Struthio camelus: one gene and its partner. The protein of the gene in region 2 interacts with the protein of the main gene of each other region in a pairwise test. Links are inferred from orthologs where the notes say so. Each region holds a gene or a part of one and is shown on either strand. Other genes may lie near its edges.

What was found. The genes of interacting proteins can lie anywhere in the genome.
Region 1: the proteins of KATNAL1 (region 2) and KLC4 interact in binary tests that used the Homo sapiens proteins (3 or more experiments, as listed by UniProt). The two-hybrid records come from large-scale screens. The link is inferred for Struthio camelus from reciprocal best matches to the Homo sapiens genes KATNAL1 and KLC4.

The regions. Positions count from the first base shown.
Region 1 is NC_090944.1:148,108,121-148,115,767, reverse strand, and holds the start of KLC4 (kinesin light chain 4), read right to left. Parts: upstream 3,009-7,647; 5' UTR 2,994-3,008; coding exon 2,982-2,993; intron 1,700-2,981; exon of another isoform or gene 1,395-1,699; intron 1,279-1,394; coding exon 1,012-1,278; intron 805-1,011; coding exon 574-804; intron 220-573; coding exon 141-219; intron 49-140; coding exon 1-48.
Region 2 is NC_090942.1:199,541,243-199,549,177, reverse strand, and holds the start of KATNAL1 (katanin p60 ATPase-containing subunit A-like 1), read right to left. Parts: upstream 3,007-7,935; 5' UTR 458-3,006; intron 91-457; exon of another isoform or gene 1-90. UniProt on the Homo sapiens protein: Regulates microtubule dynamics in Sertoli cells, a process that is essential for spermiogenesis and male fertility. Severs microtubules in an ATP-dependent manner, promoting rapid reorganization of cellular microtubule arrays.

The sequences.
Region 1 (7,647 bases), on a different chromosome or scaffold from region 2:
AGCCTCCCTGCTGGGCAGCTGCCACTGCACTGCTGTGCTGGTGGGGCACTGTGGGCACAGATGAGTAAACGGGGGCAACATTGGGCACAACGGGTTGAAACAGAGGTGGTCGGCAACCATGCATGAGCACAAACACTTACATCCAGGACCGTGCTCCTCCTCCTCATTGGGGAACAGATCATCCAGAGAGTCCTTGGTGGAGTCGCCCTCCTTCTCCTCCTGGAAGAATGGGGATCACGATGCTGTTGGTTCTCAGAGGAGGTGGCAGCAGCCTGGGCCAAATCAGCTGCCAATCTCTCCTCTCCACTGCAGCCCACCAAGGCCCTCAGCTTCCTTGTGGCCTCTGCCACCTTTCCCCTCCCACCCAATGAAGCCAACACAACATCCCCCAACGCACCCTGGCACCCTTCCCCACGTTCTGCCCGAGACCCTGCCCCATGCGGTCTCCCTTTAGTTGCAGCCAAGTATTGCCGGGCAAGGAAGCCAGCAAGGGACAAGGCTATTAAACCTAGGCAATCCCACTGGTCCCAGCCCCCTGCACAAAGGCAGCTGTTCCCCCAGACAAGAACATACCGAAGGAGAGACATCCTCATCATACTTCTTCAGCTGGTTCATGAATTCAAGGTGTTTCTTCTCTTCCTCCAGCTGAGCCACGGTCTGCTCACTGCGCTGCAGCTTCTGCTGGGTGTTGGCGAGTTCATCACGCAGCCACTGGTTCTCCTGGCACAGTCTCCGCACCTGAGCGCGCAGCTTCTGCTTCTCCGACTCCACAGCGTTCAGATGGTTGGACAATGCCATCATCACCTTGCCAAAAGTCCCAGCTGGCCAGTCAGTACCTACCACAATCCTGTATCCCCTACAACACGCAAGCTCAGGAGGGCCCACCCTCTGGGTCACCCTGGCCCTCTACCTTCAGCTCTTTGCTGCCCCTGCAGCTTACAAAAAACAGCCAAATGCCTGCCTTCCCCATCAGTTCTTGCTACCACCTACGAGGGCACTCGCCACTCTCACCTGAGCTTCTCCGAGCCCCAGTTCGATCATCTCCACTGACTTGCGGAGCAGGTTGGATTTCTCATGCACGAGATTGGCTTCTTCATCCTTCTTCAGGCACTTGATGGTCTCCAGCAAGCTGTGCAGGATGGAGTTGTGTTCATTCTTCAGTGCCTCCAGCCCCTGCATCACCAGCTTGGTGTTGGAAATGATCTCCTCTTGGCTCAGCTTGTCCAGTTTCTCCTCCCTTGGGTACACCATGGTGGACATAGTCCTGCTACCGCAGCCCTACACAGAGAGGGAGACAAAAACCCAGGAGCCTCAGTGCTATTTCAGAGAGCTGCAATCAGACAAGTGTAAGCCTCCTTCAGGCAGCCAGAGACAGGGTACAACTGGTTACCCACACTAAGTCTTTCCCCTTTGTCTTCCCCTCTCCCTTTGGCAGCAGGCAGCTCTCAGGGCACGTGTCTCTGCTTCTGTGGCATGGAGCACTGGCAGACAGGGCAGGTGGCACGCATGGACAGCAGACAAAAAGGCCAGAACAAGCGCTGACTTCCAACACCCCCACACCCCTGGCAGCAAGGAAAGCTGATTTAGCTTCCATTTAAGAGCAGAGATCTGTAGTCGGCAGCTGGGGCTGCAACACGTACACCTCCCGCCCACAAATCACTGATGCGAGGAGGCTGTCAGAGCTCAACGCCTCTTCCGACTGCAGAAGAAAGGGAATAGAAAGTGGAGAGATGCCAGCTCAAAGCTTTCCGCTTCCTCAAATTCCCTAGAAGAGTACCTCTCAGACTGGGAGGCACCTGTGGACTTACTAGACCAGTCAACAAATTCCCTGACCAAATGCGGACCCCGAAAATCTCAGCCCCCGGCACAGAACAGCCCTTGTGGGACACGAAAACACCAACATTGACTGAAGCACGTCTGTGTGGGGAAGTTTACATGCACCAACTGCGCAAGTTATACTAGCGTAACCCTTGTGTGGGTGTTAGCTTAAAACAGCAGCAGCTTTCCCAGCTCCATTTGCCCTGCTGCCAGCCCAAGGACTCCTCAGGATGGCACAAGAACTCTGCACTCCTTCCCCGTCTCACTCTCCCCATCTATACAACAGACAGTACCAAGCCACTGCCTTTACACAGGGGCACCGAGCGCTACAATCCACCACGTTAGCATGACCGCAAGATCCCTGCATAGCAAACTCAGGAGCTAGGGAGAGCCGTGCCTCACAATGCGACGCCCCTCAGCAGGCAGCAGCATCTGCCCAGCGACACCCTTCTGCAGGCCCAGAGCTGGCAGGAGGCAGCGCAAGCTGAGCACCCTGGACCCTGCTGGCAGACTGCCCAGGCGTTACACAGCACTGTGGCGGCGGGACAGGCTGAGGAGCCGCCTGGCGGATTTGTGTTTGTCCTCCTGCAGGACCTATCTCCGCAGGATTTTGAGTAATTTGTTCAGCAGCAGCCTTGGGCCTGGGTTCACAGAGCGAGCAGAAATGCCGCCCTCAGCAAGAATGTCTCGTCCTCCTCGTCAAGCCTCCTCTCCTCCTCAGCTGCACACTTTGCCCAGGAGGGCTCAGGACGATCCCCCAGCTCAGCTACCACCAGTCTTGTCTAGGAGCAGGCCCTGGGCACGAGAGGGGACCAATTTCCTCCTCACTGCAGCAGGGAAAGAGAAGATGGATGGAGCCAGGGCAGATGCTGCGAGCACACACAGCCCATGACACCCCACCCGTCTCCTCTTGGTTAGCCTCACTCCTCCAGAACTTCCTCGAGTTGTTTTACAGGCCCCAGCTCTCCTCTCAGCTCCTCTCTGGTCTCTGTTCCACCCCTTGCAAAGCATAGTGAGCTCTCAATGCACAGCAGAACCCTTACTGAACCTCAGCAGAGCAGAAAAAAACACCATGTTGCTTGAAGACTGGGCTCCTCTTCATACCTTTCAGCAGGAATTGACTGTCCTCCCACACAAAGTCACAATGCTGAATTCATATTTACCTCATGATCCATCAGCAGCACCAGCCCTGTGCAGAAGCTTGTCGTATCCTTCCCTTTTGAGCGTCTGTCATTCCCTGCATGCAGTCACCCCAACCGTTTTGCACTTCACTCCCAAAAGTTTCATCCGGCCTGTGACATTTGCCCATTTGTGTAGGAGAACACAACATGATAAGAACAGCATGGAAAACCTCACTTGAGTCAAGACACAGGGCACAGACTAACAGACTATTGCTTTGGAAAAAAAAAAAAAAAAAAAAAAAAGAGAGGTCTGTTGGGAGTTGGCTGCCACTCACATCCTCTCTTCCAAATTGCTTAACTGCCAGTTCCTAGAGAATCCATCTGGTCCATAATTCCCCAGTTTTTCTTTTTCTCCATCTTTATAAAACATCACGGAGGGTGGGGGGTGGGGGTGGAGGGGGGGCTGGGGGAAATTAAGTGTTAATGCAACAAGAGGAGAAAAACCAAACAAATAAACCCCCAAAACCTAAAATAAGCCTTCTCCCGGTGAGCGCAATTCAGGAAGAGATGTGCAATGATTCCTGGCTCCAGAGGAAGTCAGGGCAGATACCTATCTGCTTCCACCAAAGCTGAGGTAACAACTGCTAAAGGGCAAAACGGACCTGTCACTAGCTTCAACTCAGGAGGGAACTCAGCCCTAGACTCAAAAACAGAGAAATCTGAAAACAGGAGTCCTCTGGAGCAGAGCCAACGCTCAGAGACATGAGGAGGTCCCAGGGACTGCCTCGTACCCAGCATACAGCAAAACTAGAGCTCTGCCCTAAAGCTCACGCAGCTGTGCAGCCTGCAAACGCCTCTTCATCCGTCCCTCCACATATAGGGTCATCTGTGAAACACTGACAGTGTTCAAGGAAGCATTACGGATGCCCCTACAGAGAGGATGAGCTCTTGCTGCCATCTTTGATAAGCACACTACAAACACATGGGAGAGAGGTACACATTATGAATCATGACAAAAAGTCACCATCAGAACTTGCACCTTGCTAGATAACAGAGTCAGACAAGACCCAGATCCATATGAAATCAGCCTCATTAATTCCACCACGCACAGAATTACTCCTTGACTGAGAAGTCTGAGCTGTCTGTTAAAATAGCAGCATCCCGTCTTTCTTCAGCCTTTCCAGCAGAAAAAGCTGAGAGCATTTCACAGTCCCCACAATTAACTTTCTTTCACAACTTTCAACGTTTCAGAGTGTCTGAGAAGGGAAAATAAGCAAAACGTGCTGACTTAGGGCACATCAGACTTAACCTACCCTGGAAGTGCATATAATGATCCTTGGATCCTCAAGACATACTGATATCCCTTATCTCTTCGGCTGTGCAAATACCTACGCAGCCCTCACCTTTCTTCCCTAAGAGGTGTGCAGACTCCGATATCCCAGACACGCAGCTCTGCTAGCTACCAACAGGCTTAGCGCCCAACTCTGACTTCCCGTGCAAGGGTGGTGGCGGGGGGGGGATTGTCTAGGCTGGACACTCCCCCGTAAGGGCATAAGACCAGGCAACAGCACTCAGGCTGTCCTATTCCCCTCCCAAGTACTGACAAGGAAATAAAGAGAGAACTGCAGAGGAGTTGCTTAAATGCTGCTACCTCCTGCACAGGAAAGAAAGCCCACAAACGCTGGTGAGAGATGGTTTATTATCCCTCCAAAGTGACAGTTTGTCCTTACAGCACCTTATTTCTAGCTCTCCCCAGTGCCGGCAGGTCTACGCCCAGTGCACAGCCCTCAAGAGAGCAAACACGCTCTATGGCAACCGACACTAAGGTCAAGCAGGCTGAGGCTGCTGTGTAAGCACTCTTCCCACTCCCACACGCTCAGCAAAGGGAACCGAGTGCCTTTTGTCCAGGCAGAATATCCACTCAGAGACGGGGAGACACCACCCTTTACCTTTGGAAGGGGGAGGCTCAGGCCGGGCAGTTTGGAAATAGGAAGAAAGGGTGCTTTTCCAGTGGGCATCCTTGGGAGCTGGAGTGTCCAGCTCCCAGTTTCTCCTGCTGGCTCCCCTACGGCTCTGCGGGTGCTGCAGCCCAGGTCTCCAGCAGCATGTTTCTGCTCTACTTGGCACGTCTTCCCTATTCGCAGTAAGCTGCTGGAACAGTCTGGCTTTTCAGCAATACGGGTCTCCCCTCCCCTCCCCTGCTCTCCTTTGGAGGAGCGCTGCAGGAGGACAGGGGAGGAACATGCGTGCACCAAGCTTTCTGGCAGTCGCAGCAATGAGCTGGGAATCCACCAGCTGGCATGTCCTGCTAGGCAGGAACCTTCCTCCTCGATTCAAGTGTATAACCAGGCAATTGCTGAGCATCAACACTTTCATCAGCCCACTTTTCTGCCTCTGAAAAATGCTCCCACGTGCAAGAGCTTTAAGAGGAAAGCTGGAAGCTTCACTGCTTGTGTCTTAAACCCACAACAGCTGCCACATCAGAAACTAGGATGCCAGACTAAACGGGTCTAGATCATGATGCCCAATGCTGGAAGACCACAGGGAGCAACAAAATTATCACCAGGAAAATCAGGTGTCAACTACAATAAGAACAAAGACTTGAGTTGGTCATTGCCTGCACCTCTACACGTGCCTCTACAAAGTCAGCTCCCTTCACTGTCTCCCCAGATGTCCCCGGACAAAGTGTGTATCAGACACAGGGCAGTGTCAAGACTTGCACAAGCAACACTGTCAAGACAATAACTGCAGCTTCCTTCAAGCCATGGATTGCCTGCCAGTCCTTTTTGTATAGGAGCAAGTAAAAATTTTAGCAGCACACTCTTATGTGGGAAAAAGCAATATAAGGATATGGTGGCAGTAGAAAAACAACTGGGTTTCGGGGGTGGGGAGAGAAGGAAAGGAAAACTTTCTGTGGGAAGGAATAAAACTGATTCTTAGTGAGAACAAGAGACCAAGTTTGGGAGATGGATAGCAACAATAGTGTTTTAGAGATGGAAACATGGGACCTGAAGTCTTATTTTCACAATAATCATCCCAGTCATGTGCTGTGGGACATGCCTTCACTACCTGGAAAATGAAGAAAGCTATGCATTTGGGAAGCAAACCATAACTTGATAGAGGCAGGGAGGTTTTTTTCCTTTGCACCTCTGCAAGCTCATTACTGTTACACAACACAATAAAAGATCTCTGGGAAGACTGGTCAAACTCCAATTAAGCTGAGACTGAAATCTGCAATTGCAGAGCCTCCACTCCTAAGGGACACTGCAACAACACCCAGACCTAATGCCTTAGACATTCAAAAATAAAATAACAACAATAAAAAGCAAACAGAGTCCCAGGGTTGCAACCGTCCCAGAGGCTGTGTCACAAGCACAAGCTTTCTCCTGCTTTTTGTCCTGTGGCATCAGAAAGGAAACAGACAGAGGCTAGGAAGCTCCTGCTGCAAGGCCAGGAAACATTCACACCGTCACATCACTACCAGCAGAACTGCTGCGGCCAGGGTCGTCGCCCCACGTGAGCTGTGACAGTGCCACGGAAAAGGGACCGCACACTGGTGCTGCCAAGTTGCACGTGACAGGCGGTGTGTCCAGAGCTGCTCTGATAGGGGGAACACAGGAAATACGATCAGCTCTGTGTGGTGCCCAAGAACTTCACAGCTCCGAGCAGCTGCAAGCACACATGTTGAAACTTCAGAAACAAAAGCAAGAGAAGGATGTTTTGCAAGTGAAAAGACAGATGGGCGTACAATCAGCTTCAGGGTAACAGTTAAGAACTGCTACAGCTAGGAATAAGAGCCAGAAATTAAAGGACAGATGCTGAACGGCTAACAGTAAGGTCTGCAGAAATAATTGCAGTATATGGCTCCCTGCTGGGCTACATGCCTGCTGAGGCTGCCATTCGTGGCAGGGGGCAGGAACAGTGCGCCATTCTGTGCACGACCACTGCCAAAAATGCCTGGTACATCTCATGCTCCCTTTCCAAGGAGAAAGGGTCACCGTTGCACAGAGCCATGGAGAACACACAAGCAGGAGGTCAGATGGGTTTCAGCATCCTGTGAACTCATACCCAGCGCAGGAAGGCACACCTCTGAGCTGCAATCCCAAAACCGGGAGATGTCACTCAAACCCTGACACACATAAGGCCTCCTACCATCATTTGACTCTGGCTCACGAGCTTTCTCATCCCGCTGTCAAAAAAGGGGGCTCCTAGGAGCCACATCTTCTGCCCCAAGGTCTTCCCAAACCCAGCCTCCAGCCTGGACTTTTCTTGCACTACAGACAGTCTCGAGAGCTGGACTGATGATCCCATGTATGCTAGAGAGACCAACGTGCTGCAACTCACACCCTAGCAGAAGGGTCTGCAATGGCTCTTGCATCATTTGGAAGGGATGCCTGGAGGTCCCTGGTCCATTCCCCACTCAAAGCAGGGCCATCTAGATCAGGTGCACGAGGCCTGTGTCCAGTCCAGGCTTGAGTATCGCCCAAGACAGAGATCCCACCACCCCTCCAGACCCCTGTCCCATGGTTTGACCATCCTCCCAAAGGGGGGAAAAAATAAACCCACCACCAACAACAACCTGAAGTCCAGTTGGATAAATTCCTCATTTGCCTTGGCTGAACCTCGCTTCAGGATCAAGGGGCCAGGCATTACAGCAGCAGACACAAACCCGAGCCCAAAGGAAGGGAATGCAACACAGGTGTTCTTT
Region 2 (7,935 bases):
GCGCGCGGCGGCGGCAACGGCCGGTTGCCATGGCGGCGGCGGCGGAGCGCGGGGAGGGACGGCGTAGCCGCGGCGCAGCATCCCGCTACCCCGCCCCCGCCGCGAGGCCGCAGCTGCGAGGCGGGGGCGCGGCCGTTGGTGGGGGAGGGGCGGGGCGCGCCCCACCCGCCCGTGGGGAGCTCGGCCCCGGCCGCGCCCAGGGCGGGCGCTGAGGGCACCCGGTGCCCGGCACCCCTGCCGAGGGCTGGCCGGCCGGCCGGCCGGCGGCGTGGCCTCGCCTTCAAAGCGCTGTCCCTTCCCAAGAGGGGCCCTAGGTGCCGTCCCCACGGGGGTGACCCCGGAGCTGCACCCGCGGAGGCTTCTTCCACATGCGCTTTCGTGGGTCCCCAGAGGGAGTCGGAGATTTTTTTCCTTTGTTTGTTTTTCTGGAGAGAGAGAAGAACAGACGAGTCCTGACCTTTCTCGAACGTGTGAAGGGCCTTCCACTGCCTGGATGCGTAGGCAGAAAACTCGCACCTTCTCCCTCAAGAGTTTCCGTGACCTTGTCCTGGCGGAGGGAAAGGGTGTGGTTTCTCCAGCGAGCTTCAAACAAAGGAAAAGCTCTTCACATCTTCATCTTTGAGGATGGCGATGGGTGTTGCAAGCCCCCTGCCCCCCCCCCCCCCGTTTCCACTGTTAAGCCTACATTTTAGGAATCCTTAGAATAATTTCTGTTAAAATTACTGGCTTGAGTTAAGAAAGAGAGCCTCGCCCTTTCAGTCCATTAAGAAAAGACCCACAGTTAAAAGTGGCACTCTCCCTTTCAAAGGAGGAAAGTGTAAGCCTTAGAAGTGATAAAACACCACAGCATGCAGATACGCTTCTGAACCAGCCGAACTGCAGTTCCAGCAGTTTTCTATGGTTACCATTTTTTTTTAGGTTTTATTTATTTAAGTTTTAATGGATTTTCACATACACAATACAAAACTCATCTCTTCCCACTTCAGCTGTGGGAGTGACTAGAAAAGGCAAAATATGCAGTTGTCCTCTGTATGGGCACACAGAGACTTGATACACATTTTGCTAGCAGATGTCATGGCTTTCATATAAGAACTGAACACATAAGATTTTTGGGATTCCCATTTTCCCATTTTTTTGGGAGCCAGGTGATACGTGGTGGTCACAGGCAGCCTAATCAAAGAAAAGCACCCAGTTTATGTTATTGCCAAGAATGGATATTACCTAGCATTTCTGAAGCAAGCATCTCATACGTAAGATAAACGGTTGGGTCTCTTATAAAGGAAACAATAAGTCTCTCAAAGGATATGATTTCACAATTAATGTGAGTCAGTCAGTGTCCTTATTGCTACCAAAAGGGACAGTCCTGCCTTCTTCTCTGATCCTGGCTATGCTTTCCTGTGACTTACACAGCAGTAATGCTCAAGTCACTATCTGGTAAGGTAGGTCTAGGGTCTGAACCATCTGAAAGCTGGGTATACCTCTCCAAAAAAAAAAACCAAACAGTTTTTAGCAGAATCAATTCCTGAATTAGTTGACCCCACAAAGCTGCATCGGGCCCCAGGAAGACAGAGGGAACATGTGATGGAGGCAGGATTAGCCCAGTGAGATCCCAACAGATTTGAGCTGTGTTTCCGTGTGCACCAACACCACTTCAATGGCTCTGTGCCACTTGTGACAACTCTGAGACTTTCCCAGTAATGACCATGTGGTAGCTCCCTATAATGACATGTAACTTAACTGGAAAACGTAAACGTTAGTTACCTTGACGTAGCAGCATTAGGTGGTACTTCACAAAAAGGGCCTCAGAAATGCTAACTAACATAAGTGAAAGAGCAAGGATTGAAGCTAAGAGCTTAGTACGCCTCTTAAATAATGCAGCATGTGTGTATGTGTCACTCACATATATGCGCATGTCTTGCTTCCCTCAAAATCACGTGGAGATTTTTCTGCCTTTGTGAGCCCCTCTGGCTTCCCCCTTTTCCAGACTTCTCCATACTTGCCTGCTGAAGGCATGATTCCTCCTGGTTTTCCACATACCCAAAAGCAAAGATGCTATGCAGATCTTAGAGAGCCTAAGGCTTCTTAGGGCCAACAGATTGCAAGCAGCCTGTCCCTTGCACCACCGTAATATCTCTTCCCACAAGACTGTATACCTCCTATCACTTTAGCCAACACATGAACTGATTTGTCTGAGGATCAGATCCCTCAGCTAGGAAATTGTGACACAGAGAAGTAAGGTTGGCTGTTCAGTCATAACCTCTGGTTTTTTTCTTCTTTCCATGGGCTGCTTCCTCGTGACATAGGGTAACCATATTCCCATTGACTTCCAATTGAAAAGCAGTTGCTTACAGTCATAGCAATACCTGTCTCACTCTAGTTGGACTCCTCAGAGGGAAAGTTTGATTCAGAAAGCATGATCTACACAATTTGCCAAGATCTAATAAGTAACTATAACTTAAAAGTAAGCAGCAGGAAAAGAACCAGCTCTCCAGACTGCTAACCCTGTATACTACGCATACATAAGGATCACAGGGTAGTTCCTGTTGGAAGGGACCCCAGGAGGTCCTCTAGGCCAGCCTCCTGCTCTTTCTCACTGTAAAGCTCATAATTATACTACTATGTGGTTTTTGATCATGAGAAGGGACAACTGGAGGAGAAAGGACTAACAGGCCTATAGAAGTTCATAAACTTGTTAATGAGGAGAAAGACAGTAGATTTGCGCATGCCATTTCATAGCCTTTTGTATTGCTATGGTCAGATGAACTCCAGGAAATGTGGCTGGAGTGATGTAAGATATATTACTTCCCTAATTATTTGTTCTACCTCTCTGCTGAAGGTTTCTGCCTCCACAACAGTCCCTGGAATGGAAAACACTCCTGTCTCTAATCCATTTTATTACAAAAACTGGCATTAAACTCATCCTTATCAGCAATTTAAGTTAATTTGCTGGACCTCATATTGAAGCAGCCGAGAGTCATGCACATATTTCATTCCACCAACTCTGCTGTGAGGCAGTAATCTCAGGCAAAGAGAAGGTAAGAAATCCTTGGGAGAGGTGACACTTTAAACCACTGAAACTTGTTCTACTATGAATATATTCTCTCCCATGGATTACTTTTTTTTTTCTTTTTGACAGAAGACCTAAACCTAGCAGTTCTGGATAAGACATGATGTTGGTGGGTGTCAGAGGCTGTGGTTAGACAGGCTCCAGCTGTGTTGGTAGAGGAGGGCATTACTCGCAGCCAAACCCCAGAGACTTAACATGCCCCTTCCCAGAGGCCTGTAATTCTGCCCGCAGAGCTGGCATTGTGTGCCCTCTCTCTCCAATTTATTCTATGAATTTAGTCAGTTCAATCAGAAGCTGATATAAATTAGCGTAACTCTTTTGCCATGAACATCTGAATTGGTTCAAAAGTATCTCTTAAGCCACAGTAATTGCAGACACTGTCAGCCATGTTTTAAGCTAGCCACACTTAGGGTCTGTGTCAGATTAACAAAACTGGTTTCTAAATTGATTTGGTTATTATTGCATAAATTCCATAGACTGTATCTAACTCAGATGGCTGGCACGGGCATTTAGCGCTGTAGCAGGGAGCTTCATTCGTAGCCTCCTCCCACACAAAGTTCTGCAAGAGAAGACTGAAAGCACATGAGATACTTGTGAATTATGAACTGCCCTCTGCTTTTGTCATCGCTTCCCCTTGCAATTATATTTAATTGGGCCATAGGAATTATTCTGCCTTTGTAGTAATCTTTAATACTCAAATGCAAACATAAGTCTATACCAAAGGTCTTACAGACAACATTGAGAAATGCTTTAATAATTGGAGGTGAAAAGCAATAGAGAAACAATAGGGAAAAGAAGGAGCATGTTACATAATCATGGTCATTAACCTCCCAAGAGAAGTTATGCACAACTTAGTAAAGGCATATTACTTTGTAAACATGCATAGTAATTGGTCTGCCTAGGTATTTTTATTGTATGGTATTTATTAGTATGACACATCCACCATTTTTTATCCTCGAAGAGAACTTTAAAGTCTGAACCTTAAGAAATTTTGACAAAGTGGCAACACAGAAGGATTTAGTTGACATCTTTCACACAAGCTACTTCTCAAAATTCTGTAGGCTGGTAATAAAGACTCTTTCAAGGCAGAGCAGTTGATTTTCAGATGAGATTTCAATTAAACCAGAAAGTCAGCATAGGGCTGGCCGCAAGCTATTGTATTTTTCCAGTCAAAGATAGACATCTGTTACGTAGACTTGTGCATCTGAATTAGGCTTCCTCTAGATTTTCTTCATGGTAGAGAGAGAGAGGTACTTCAGGGATATAGTTCCCCCTTTGACCAAGGGGGACTGTGCCCTGAATGTGCTTTTTTTTTTTCCTAATATTTATAGAAGGTGATCATTGTAAATAGCAGTTTCTGCAGTGCAGATGCCTAAAGGTGGGTGAGAGGAGTCCCACCTAAGATGTTTGTTGCATGGTTGGAGCCATAGAGAGAAATAGTTGTCACGACACTTACGGCCTCTTAGATTAAAATGATGAAGAGGCCAATGCCAGATTAATGGAAAGAACAGGTAGAAGAGAAGGTAGATCTTTGACATGGCTTGAAGCAAGTCCACAGTGGGTTGAAAAAATAATAGCTCTGCTTTGAGTCTTTTGACAGAAATTAGAAGAATTACTAGAAACTAAGGTGTCATATTTCTTTTTTCTATACACTTAATATACAGAAGCGTTTTGCATCTGCTGGAGTGTTACTGTTCAGAGAAGGAATAAGAAAGTAGCTTACAGTAGTCCAAACAGAAAGGAAGGCTTGGAAAGAAACCTCAGAGAAAGTGGAGTCAGCAGTTGTTACATGAAAACTGGAACAGGAAAAGAAAAGTTCATTCACATCATCCCAGTCCTGTGGCAGGTCATCAGATAGTATAAAGTGGCAGAGCTCCGTTAATATGATGTGTTTGCTAGAATTGACAGCTAAGAAGAAATCTCCTGTGATACACAAGAGAATTAAGTGAGAAAGGTTTGGCAATATAACTCTTTCATGGTAGGGTGTGGATTTTAGGCTGGTTTGCTAAAGATGTGACACTTCTGGAATTGCATGCAGTCTTTCCCACGGCAGTCATTTCGAACCTCATTGGCTAATTTCAGGCACATCTGACAAAAGGTTGGAAGTTGTTATAATAATTGAGTTCCTTTTAGTTTAGTAGTAAGTGGCAGGATACAAAAGATGGGCCTTGCTGTTGCCCCAATGGAGCACAAGGTGGGGAGAACTTAGCTGTTAAATGGTTCATCTGGCAACAGGCTGGCCAATCTGCATGCAAAAAATGACTGACTGCCCTCACTGCTACTTGCTGCACCTACTTCTGAGCACAGCTGCAGTGTCATATGTGACACACAGGCTGCTTTATATATTGCAGTGGTGAGGGCTAAGGGGAAATGGATACACAACTGTAGGATACTAGGCTTCAGTAGTTTGAACCAAGCAGTTGTATCAATGCAGCCTGTTACCTGGCATAGCCAAAAATTTAAGTCGTGCTGGTATATGTTAGTGGCCTTTGCTTATAGATACGTTTCTGACTTAAAGTGTCAGTTTCGAATATAAGAGCTATTGTGCAGCTTTTTGCGCAGTTTAGATGCCCAAACCATTAGATTAAACAAAGCTCAGTCTATTACATATTAATAGCTTGCCCACCATTTTAGATTTCCTAGGCATCCTAGCTCCAATTCTGCAGTGTGAGATACTAGAAGGTGAACTGACTTTAACAGTCCACTCCTGTAAACACAGTCATCCAGAATAGAAGTCAGTTATATTTAAAGAGCGCTTCTTAACGTATCATAATCCTTTCCAGGATTGTGTTGAACAGTCCTTTGAATAGTGCTATGATCAATGGCAATGAAGGTAGTCATATTTGAAGGAAGATGCAGTGAAAATCTGTGTGCTGGTATATACTTAAAAAGCAAGAGTGCAAGTCAGGAGTGAGGAGGTAAGCACACTGGTGGCCATGCATCTGTATTAGAAGAACAATTTCTGTCATTTATAGATAAATTCTAAAACTTCAGTCCCTGCATGTGTATAAAGGTCTGAGTAAACACGGGCAATACACTAAATGGCAAGAAATAACTACAAATGAAAGTGTAGCCAAAGTGCCTAATGAAAACCTACAAAAATATTTAAGAAGAACAAGAAGGTTAAATAATATGGTGGTGATCATTGTGAATTCCCTTTCTTTTCTCTTTCTGGTCCTCTGATGTGATAACTATAGGGTATATGCAGTGGTTTCCATGTGAACAACTTAATCTGGTTCCCATTACGAGTGTAAAATTGGGAATCTTTTTTTAACTTTAAATTTGGATTGTATTTGGAAGATGTGCATTTGTTAATTTTTTCGTGCATCTAATAAATGAGCAACACAATAGTGTCATAACAGTGTGTCAGTAGCACAGAAAACAGCATCTCATAAAAGAACAAACATTGGCATAATAGCTTTGGTTAAACATATTTTAAATTTTTATAACATCCCATTCACATTCTCTGGGGAAATACTGCCTACGTTTAGCATCTAACTTGGATGCCTAAATTAGGAGGCTCGTCTCCCTAGATGCCTTGCATAGTCTAAGAGAGAGAGAGGTTCCTCCAGGGAGCAATTCAGACTATGTAAGCTAGGCTTCTGCTCTGAATTATCATCTGGAGGAGCCTCTTCAGCTTTGAATGCTGTTCTGTGCTATTCTTTGCATCTTGTCCTCGGCAACAAAAGTGACTTAACAGGTCCTCGCCCCTCAGCGCTTGTTCTTGCCCTCTGCTTTTGCTTATCACTCTGTCGTTTGTGCAGGTACAGCTGTTTATGTGGTGGCACTGTAAACTGGGTTGGTGAAATGATCTGGATTAAATAGGATCCTGTGAAATAAAGTGTTAGTTTTACCCTAGATCACATCTCTGTCAGGTTTATGGTGTGACCTTGTAAACAGTTACACCTGCCTATTTGAGGAAGTGAAGAGCTTTAGCAAGAGACAGAAATGAGTTGCTGGATACAGGGACCTGTTTGTCAAGTTTGCCACCAAGACAAAGATACATTCCACTTAGGGATGTAAGTTAAGGAGACCAGATATCCTTCTCTAAGCCTCATTCTGTTCATGTACGTGACTTTTATTCCCATTATAGTTTCACAAATATAATGTAAGTTTATTATGATATACATGACTGTAAGAAAAAGATAATCTAGTCTTGTTATCTCCGTTATCCATATAAAACGGGTCATAATTTGAACAAAATAGCTTATAGGATTTACAAACGCACCATGAAAACATATGCTAAACTTATTAATAAACCGAAAATCACAGTGTAGAGACTAATATAGAGCAACTGCAGTCAAGTTTGAGTAGCTTAAGGAGTTGCTCACTCTTCAGCCAAGAGTTGCTAATATTTTGTCGGAGACCCTGAATGCAGTTTACCTAACCTTAGTGGTCTGCAGTGTGGACGTCCACACATGAGCTGGTTGCCTTATAGTCCCTTTAAAATCCATGAAAAAAATGGTCTTTTAGGTTGTGATTCATATGACCAATATTTGATATCTGCCATAGGACAAAAATGAATCTATCCTATGAGGGTCTGTTCACTCCAATGATTAGAGAGAGAGGTGGGTTGACTCCCTCAGATATGAAATACCTGCATTTGGCCAGCTGACTCCCACCCACAGTCGGTGCAGCTGTTCCTTTTATGTAGCACTGCAGACAGACTATAACAAGCTAGGTTCAGTTGCCTTCTGTACTAACCTCTAAAACCACTCACACTCTGCTGCAAGCACATGACAGACTAAAACTTCATTTTCTGATGAGATTTATTAAAAGCTATCCTAGTTCAGAGGGATTTGGTGCCACTAATGACCACTGTTATAACACTTTTCCAATCTCTTGTAGTAAGATACGTCACTTTGTTA